Caenorhabditis elegans: one gene and its partner. The protein of the gene in region 1 purifies or fractionates together with the protein of each later gene. This does not show direct contact. Each region holds a gene or a part of one and is shown on either strand. Other genes may lie near its edges. The genes, in order: rcs-1 and cpi-1.

What was found.
Region 2: the proteins of rcs-1 (region 1) and cpi-1 fractionate together in Caenorhabditis elegans (co-fractionation; one large-scale study listed by BioGRID). This does not show direct contact.

What each region holds. Positions count from the first base shown.
Region 1 is NC_003284.9:8,825,985-8,830,673, reverse strand, and holds rcs-1 (RING-type domain-containing protein), read left to right. Parts: upstream 1-2,155; 5' UTR 2,156-2,186; coding exon 2,187-2,262; intron 2,263-2,309; coding exon 2,310-2,494; coding exon of another isoform or gene 2,495-2,539; coding exon 2,540-2,608; intron 2,609-2,736; coding exon 2,737-2,924; intron 2,925-2,969; coding exon 2,970-3,024; intron 3,025-3,069; coding exon 3,070-3,343; intron 3,344-3,816; coding exon 3,817-3,878; 3' UTR 3,879-4,070; downstream 4,071-4,689. Other genes in the region: C28G1.6 (RING-type domain-containing protein), read left to right, coding at 1-142, 193-247, 297-570, 620-678.
Region 2 is NC_003282.8:6,091,933-6,095,472, reverse strand, and holds cpi-1 (Cystatin cpi-1), read left to right. Parts: upstream 1-1,840; 5' UTR 1,841-1,855; coding exon 1,856-1,957; intron 1,958-2,249; exon of another isoform or gene 2,250-2,271; intron 2,272-2,404; coding exon 2,405-2,476; intron 2,477-2,551; coding exon 2,552-2,797; 3' UTR 2,798-2,870; downstream 2,871-3,540. Other genes in the region: K08B4.7 (Cystatin), read left to right, coding at 3,125-3,226, 3,520-3,540. UniProt on the Caenorhabditis elegans protein: Cysteine protease inhibitor which inhibits members of the peptidase C1 family. Does not inhibit asparaginyl endopeptidase. May play a protective role against exogenous cysteine proteases derived from soil bacteria or fungi, or rotting fruits and vegetation.

The DNA of each region.
Region 1 (4,689 bases):
AGGAATTTGGCGATCACAAAGATCACAAACGAGGACTGTTGAGAGATGAAGTTAACATGCTTAAAGCTATTCTGAAAAAATCTGAAGGAAGACTCAGCAAGTTCATTGATACCATTGAGAACAGTTTGCGTGATTTTGAAAAGTATATCAAAAACCTTTATAATGTACAATTAATATTGCATCGATTTTTAGAGCTGAAAACTCACTTTCTTCTGACAGCAACGCATTCATGGATACCATAAACGAAGTATTAAAAAAAGCTTTGAATCTTTTGAGGTTGAACACATTCATTGCAGATAAAAGGCCATTATGACAGCATGCGTAAGAATATTGATGTTCGAGAGCAAAAGTCAATTGAAGAGCTGGGCATATTAGCAGAGCGGCAACTTATGGAAAATAGGAATAAGGTTGGAGCACTGAAATCAGGGCATCGTTACTTTGAAGATAAGCTTGCTGAAATCAAACGACTAAGTCTCTTGGATGAATCAATTTTGATTAATGAAGCTGGAAATATTAAATCAATGGCAGATGCAACAGAATCATTGGTTCAGAATCCGTCTGCAAATACACGTAATACATTTCATTTCTTACACATTCGACACATTTCAAGATTTTTCAGCAATTCCTTTATCAATTCACAATGTGAAAGTCGAATTGCCGAAATTTCAATTTTGCTAGCCTGCTGCAATAAGTTTTGGTTCTCGATGTACATTCAATATTCAATAAACACTTGTTGTTTTCTTTCCTGAAATTCCTCGTTATCTTAGGATTGAGATCATGATAACATTTGTCTGAGCAAAAGTTGTAAACCTGCTACTCTTAAAATACGTGATCTTTGAAAAGTTACAATCCTTGCTAAGTTTAAAATATGGGGCAGAGTGTTGCGAAAAAAAAAGTTATCTGCGTCTCGCATTTCTTATCTATTTTTGGTCTTACTATTGGCTTTCATTCATACAAAAAGTATTGTTCATTTTCTTCAAATATTTTTTGTTTGTTAAAACTTTTGTTAAATGTATTTGGTTTTTTATTACTATTTTGGATATGATCTCCAGTGGAATCAGCAATTCCTGAATAGTTACAAATAACGACTGTGACACACTTTTCTGATTTTTATAATGTGAATTGAGTAAAATGCAGAACGTTTCAATGTACCACTTTCAGATATATTTGAACACTAGAATAAATGGTCTTTCCGTAACTTGTTTATTTTCTGAAATAAAATCTGTACCACGTTTTGATGTATACTGTATTGTGAAAATGATATTGAACAAATTTTTGCCCGTTAGTCACTTTTTAATGTTTTATCAATAAGTGTTTGCACAGCAAGTTTACCACTCGACACTATGATATAATTCAGTACTGAATTCAAACACATACTCTGATATTTTTACTCTCATTTTGGCTTACCTTTTTTCACACACTTGTTCTAACATGTGTAGTTTTTCACGCAGTATCTATTCTTCTCTTTTCTCTGTTTGTTGTCTTTTTTTATTGGTAGTATTCATATCAACGCAAATCGATTTTCAACATATTTTTTTCCATTTTACAAAGTTATTCGACAAGAAAATTTGAAAAAAGTTGAAAACAAAGCAAATTTAGCTTTTTCTAAAATGAATGAATCATCTCTTGCTTGATACTCACTATTAGTTTTAGCTTTATTTTAAATAGGAAAATTTCCTGAAAATACGCATTTGGTGTTTTGACCGAATTCCAAAATGCAACATTAAAAAATTTTTTGTGTCAACTTGAACATCGTAAGTTTTTCATTTTCGCAACAAGAGAAAACATGTTAAAAAAAAGGTGCAGAAATGGAAAGAACTGCGCACTGGTAGTAAAAAGCTTTGACAAAAACGTAATAATTCAAATTAGAATTTGTCAAAAACTTAAGCTTTTTACATTTTAAATCTGAAATTAAAAAAGTGTTAAAATTTTCCTAGCGCTTTTTACCTTTCGATTGGAAACTAGTGATCCTTATTGTGTTTTTTTCCTTCCTGTGCATTTCCTTCAACAAACAAACATCGTTTTGAAATAAAATTTCGTAAGCCTTTTTTAGTTTTTTGATGATTCGTTTTATTCAATAGTCAACTGTGCTATCTTATCTAAGAGTCAGAAAAAGCGTCTTAAAACTTCTGCAAATGGTTGACTCAATTTTTCCTTTCAGGTTATAATCGCTCAATTTGAATATAATGTCGTTCCCAAAATGTAAGATTTGCTTCGACCGCTTTTCCGATACCGACAGCGAACATATTCCAAGAAATCTGAGTAAGTCGTGTAAATAATTATACGCAAATTGTAATTCAATATTTTAGCTTGTGGACATGCTCTGTGTCACAAATGTATCACAGCGATGGTGAATAACAGTACTGTAGAATGTCCATTTTGTCGAACAGTAACAAACATTGTAAATAACGACATTACAAAGCTGCTCAAAAACTTTGCCCTGATTGAGGTTATTGAGGATGCCAGGTATAGTTTGAATAAGAAGGACGTTGTGGTAAGCTGCATAACAGAAGGTTTGCTAAATAGTAGTTTTGGTTAGGTTGTCAATTCGAACTCCCCTCCGATGTGCAAAAACCATCCACACAACCTGGCCGAGTTCGTTTGCGTCGTAAGTATTTTATTGGCTTTTCCGAATGAGTTTTATGAAAAATGGGCACAGTTTGGCAAATTAGAAACATAATATTTTTTAATCAAAAATCGACGCCGTCATTATCTAGTAGAAATTCACATTTTCAGACGAGCGGCTGCAAATCTCAATGTAAACTAATGTGCCGCACCTGTGAAGAATTCGGAAACCACAAGGGGCATACCAGAGGCTTGTTGCAAGAGGAAGCAGCTAAAATGAGAACGGTCCTGAACAATTCAGAAACTAAACTTGAAAACTTCTGTGACTCAATTCAATCTTGCATTGAACAGTACAAAAAGTTTGTTGCAATTTAGAATTTATAATCTTTATAAAGTTTTTTCAGTGCTCAACGTTCTTTTGAATCTAGTGGAGCTACGTACAAGGCAAAAGTTAAATCGGTATTTCAATTTGACAAACTATGTTTTCTATTTTCAAATTTTCAGATTGAAGAACACTTCAAGAAAATTAAAGAAATGGTAGCACAGCGGGAGAAGGAAACTCTTGTGGAATTGAAAGATGCAGCAGATTGCTGCCTTGACGACAACAAAAAGAAAATGGAAATTCTATCCGTAGGACATCAACGTTTCAAACAAAAGCTCACTGATATGAAAGAATTTCACAATATCAACCAAGCCGGGCTGCTCAGCAAAGAATCTCAAATCATGGAACTTGTGGAAATGGCAAAAATTGCAACGCAATCAAATGTTGTTAACGCACGTGAGTTTATATTTTCTTGCCATATATTTTCTATTAGTGTTCTATTAGTGCTACAGCACTTATTTTCAGTCCCTTTTTGAACGCAGCACTATTAGAGACGGCAGTGCAAATTTTCGAACTAGCTTTTAGTCACAAAAGCTCATCTTTTAAGCAGAAATTCATAAGGAGTGAATATTTTTGTAACATAAAGACATAATGATTTCATGATGTTTGTAAATTAACAATAACCATCAAAAATAATCAAAAATGAACAAAAACACTCCCCCAAATGTCGAAGCTATTGAGGTGACTCATTTAATGGAAAATGGGTGCCGCATTAATAGAAACTGCAGCACTAATTTTCGAAAGGACTATTGGGGTGCAGCATTAATAGAGAAAATACGGTATTGCGCAATGTGTCAAATAGCTAAATAGGAAACTTCTACCGGGTACCTCATCAAATTTCTGAAACCATAACAATTTAGGATTTTCAGCTCAACCAACCAAAATGGATGACATAACAATCAACCTTGCGTCTTTCAATTTTGGAAAATAAAATATAACGGATATTCTACTTATATGATTCAATAACCATTCATCTAAAATTAATTAATGATATTTTCCAACTTTACTGTTTTTTTTTTACTAAATGAACATTGTTTTAAATTCTTATAAGTTATTCATTTGACAGCCAGTTTATGATTTTCATCCAAATAAAGTCTTGACAACATGAATGAGACACTTGTATGTGATTTAAAGGACAACTAACTATTGAAAACGAGTTGGAACCTACCGAAAATTTTGTAATGAGAATCCTATAATAATTCTCAAAAATTGTCAAATGTCCCGTGTCACAGCTATAGGAAACCAGAAATGACAATCATGATTATCCGCTCAAAAAGTAGCTTACTAGGGAATATCTTCCACCAGCACGCCTCAATCTGAAAGTTTTTTAGGTCAAACGGAAGCTAAGATCATTGGCTAACATAATTTATTTTTCGTTTCTGCTGGCGAGTCACACAGGGCTGAAAATTTCCGTCTGAAAATTTAGTACTATTTCTGTTGAAAAGCTTGTTTTTAACGTGTAGAAAAGGCTACATAAAAGTTTTGCACTGAAAGCACCGTTTGAATGGCCGATTGGTTAACGTTTACGTCAATAATCACATTTCGGTGGTTCTTTTCCCACACGGGTAAATTTAATTTTGCAATTTTTCCCAAAACCTGAAATATGCTCAAAAACAGTGTTACATGAATTTTTAGAAAGTCTCGTATCGATTTTAAGCTTCTGGAATAGCAAACCAGCCAAATTCTAATTTTTGGAAAGTTTTTACAGTTTGAAGATTTTCAAACTTGAAGATTCGCAAACC
Region 2 (3,540 bases), on another chromosome or scaffold:
CTGCGGTGTTTTCGGCGATTCGTAGAAATTATCGTGTGTTGAGTAGGCGAGAGGCATTTCCTGAAATTTCTGAATGTTATTTTCATCAATTATAACAAAAATTACAAGAAATAACAGTGGAAACGAAGAGAAATCGTTGAAAATCGAGAAGTAAAATTTAAAATATTTTTCAATTTGAAAATTTTGTGCATTTTAACGTGGCGGTGTTTGCGTACATTTTGAATTTTCTCATTGTCGACCGTAGTTTTCGGTAATTATTGTGAAAAATCGGATGTTCAAACGAACTTTCGTTTGAACATCCGATTTTTCTACGCGTGGAGATGAGTTGTGTGTGTACTCCACACGGACAAATACATCAGTTTTACAACTAGTTGTAACTAAAAACGAGCCGCGAAGCCACACGCAACGCGCCGTAAATTTACACAAAATCTCTCCGACCCAAAATGCAGCCTAATTCGTAAGGTATTGTTGATTTTTATTTCATTATCTTTTCTTGCTAATTGAAAAAAGTCACATACAAAGCGCATGTTTTATTAAAACAATACTTTTTTCCGATCACATGCTGTTATTTTGATACAGTTTCGGTAGAACTTTTGATTTTAGTCTTTACTTTTAAATCTCGCCGCGATTGTACTGTAAGTGATTAAGATATGTATATTACGGGAACAATAAAGCATGATAATGCGTACTTGGTGCATTTTATTTGACGCGCGATATCTCTTAGCGAAAACTACAGTAAGAGCTTAAATATTTATTGTTATTTGAGTTCTTACTGTAGTTTTCGCTAAGAGATATCCCGGGTCAAATAAAAGCACCAAGTACGCGTTCTCATGATTTCTTGTTCCCGTAATACGGTACGATCGCTTTGAGGAAACTATGGTGTTTTAACAATGACTGTGAATTCTGTCTTTCTTTGACGATATGAAACTTCATGATATTAAACTTCCGTAGCTAATTAACCAATGCGGGATGTTTTTGACCCGGGTGGCCGACAGACAACATTTTAATGGAATGGAAACGACTGCCCGGCTGCCCCAATCACGCAAACCTTGATAACTATTGTATTCTTTCACGTCTCCCAGAGAGCGTAATAAATTATTAATTACCAGCCGTGGACCGCACCTACGGCGCGGCCCCCGACTTTTTTGAGAAAACACATTAGATATACGGTGTCTATCGCGGACCTCGATCGATGTCTGCTGCGCATTTAGCATAAGGTTTCCCAAAATTTCGTCGCTCTGATCAGAGATCAAACTACATAGGGACAGAAGGACACGCGCTTTATATATAGTAAATGATTATTATGTGTTGACTAAGATCGTGGCAAGATCCACACGGAAAACATCGTGTGGCTTTATAAAATCATGTGAAGGTAAAATTCGCTTTTCTAAAAATAAAGTTCTTCAGTTCTGAAAGATTGGAACAGCCCTTCATTTAAAACAAGTTCACTTAACTTGAATGTGAAACAGTAAATTATTTATACAAAATTTTGTAAATATTTTTTGAACTAAAACGTAGTTTTGAACTCATGCCTTGTTACTTCATTTTCAGAAGCTCTGGAATTTCTATCATTGCTTTCAGGTGCAAAAAAACTCTGCAAGAATTCCTGAAGCGGCACTTTTTTCCAGAAAAACAGAACATGCAAAAGTCGAAAATAATTTATGAAATGATATCATCATATTCAGTTGTAAACAAACTTTCCAAAGGAAGATAATGAGTCATAGCTGTTGCAATGATCGATTCTTTCTCTTTTTTCAATCAAATTGTTGATCTTTAGCTGTCTCGCTCTTATCACTCACCAACTGACTCTTATAAAAGCAAACGAATGTTGACATATTTTGTGACAAAAATAAAAATGCGTTTCATTCTTCTTATCGCACTTGTTTTCGCTGTTCTTGACGGAATAAATTGCCAAATTGCTGGTGGATTGTCTGATGTGAATGCCTCTGAGTATACTGTAAGTTTTACTTAGGCTTTTTGTTGAGAAAATGCTCATTTTGTGAAGATTTCTTATATTTTTTAAAACTATAGTTGATACTTACTCTTAGGATACTTAGTCCGGTTTACTATAATTTTAATTTCTTTCAATATTCGATAAATTCATTTTTTTAAACAAAAAAAACTGGAATAAAAATTTAGCGCTTTGAAAAATTCAATTACGACTCAAAATGCTTATAAAACAAATTAAAATTAAGAGTTTTAATTTCAAAACTGCTATTCAAAACTAATTGGCACTTCGCGCAAAATTTTAATAAATGTCTACTGGTTGAACAGTATCATTTAAAAATTTTGTGCACAAATGTAAACTGTGAAACAGTGAAAAAATTCATATTTCGAAAAAAGATTTTGGTTACCGTAATTTTCAATTTAAAATATATATGCACTTTTAGTTATGAGTTTTCAGGGAGCAGCTTGGAATTCGGTGCCGGAAATAAACAGTAAGAATAATGGACAAAACTACATGGTTCCAATTAAGGTAGGTTTACTCCTCAGAGGCAAAAAATGCTGTTCAAAAAATAATACTTTGCGCTTTTATAACACTCTTATTTAGGTTGTTAAAGCTCAAGTTCAAGTTGTTGCCGGAACCAATACAGTTTTGGAAGTTCTTGTTGGAGAGTCAACTTGTCCGAGACAAGGATCAGTTCAAGCTTCTCAAGTCACTGCTGCAAATTGTCCATTGAAGTCTGGTGGCAAGCGTGAACTTTACAAAGTGTCCATTTGGGAGAAACCATGGGAAAACTTCAAGCAAACTAAGGCTGAAAAAATCAGAGGTGTGAAACCTGATGAAAAAATTTAAATTAAATCTGGTGAATGTATTCTTGCTTTCTGTACTATTTTAAAAAATTGCTAATAAAGAACTTTGGTTTTTGAAAATAGTTGCTGCGTTACGTACTTTTCTTTCCAGCTAAAACCCTAATATACATCTGAAGAAAATATTTTTTGAAATTATATCATTATATTCCGTTGAAAATCAATTGTCCATGGGAAGACAATGAGTCATACCTGTTGCGATGATCGATTTTTTTTTGAATCAAACCCTTGATCTTTTGCTGTGTCCTGTTCATCACGCACTCCCTCTCACTCCTATAAAAGCAAACGAATGTTGATATACTTTGAGACAAAAATGCGTTTTATTCTTTCTATCGCACTTCTTTTTGCTGTTCTTGATGGAATGAATTGTCAAGTTCTTGGTGGATTTTCTAATCTGAACGCTTCCGAGTATACCGTAAGTTTTCTTTTTGTAGTGCATTTTAAAATTGTGCGTTGGAAACTTTTAAAGCTCAGAAATTGGAATAATTTGAGTTTCTTAATTTAAAAGCGAAACTATCACTCGCGCTACGTTCTTTCCAATAATATAAGTAGATTGAAACAGTAGTCGAATTTTAAGAATTTTCGTGCATTTTGAAACGAAGATTATATAATTGGTATTCTTCCTTTCCTAGTATAGTTTTTAATTACATGTTTTTATTGAGATGTTCAGATCAACGTTTAAAAAAACTATTTATTGTGCATTTTCAGGGAACTGCTTGGAAATCGGTA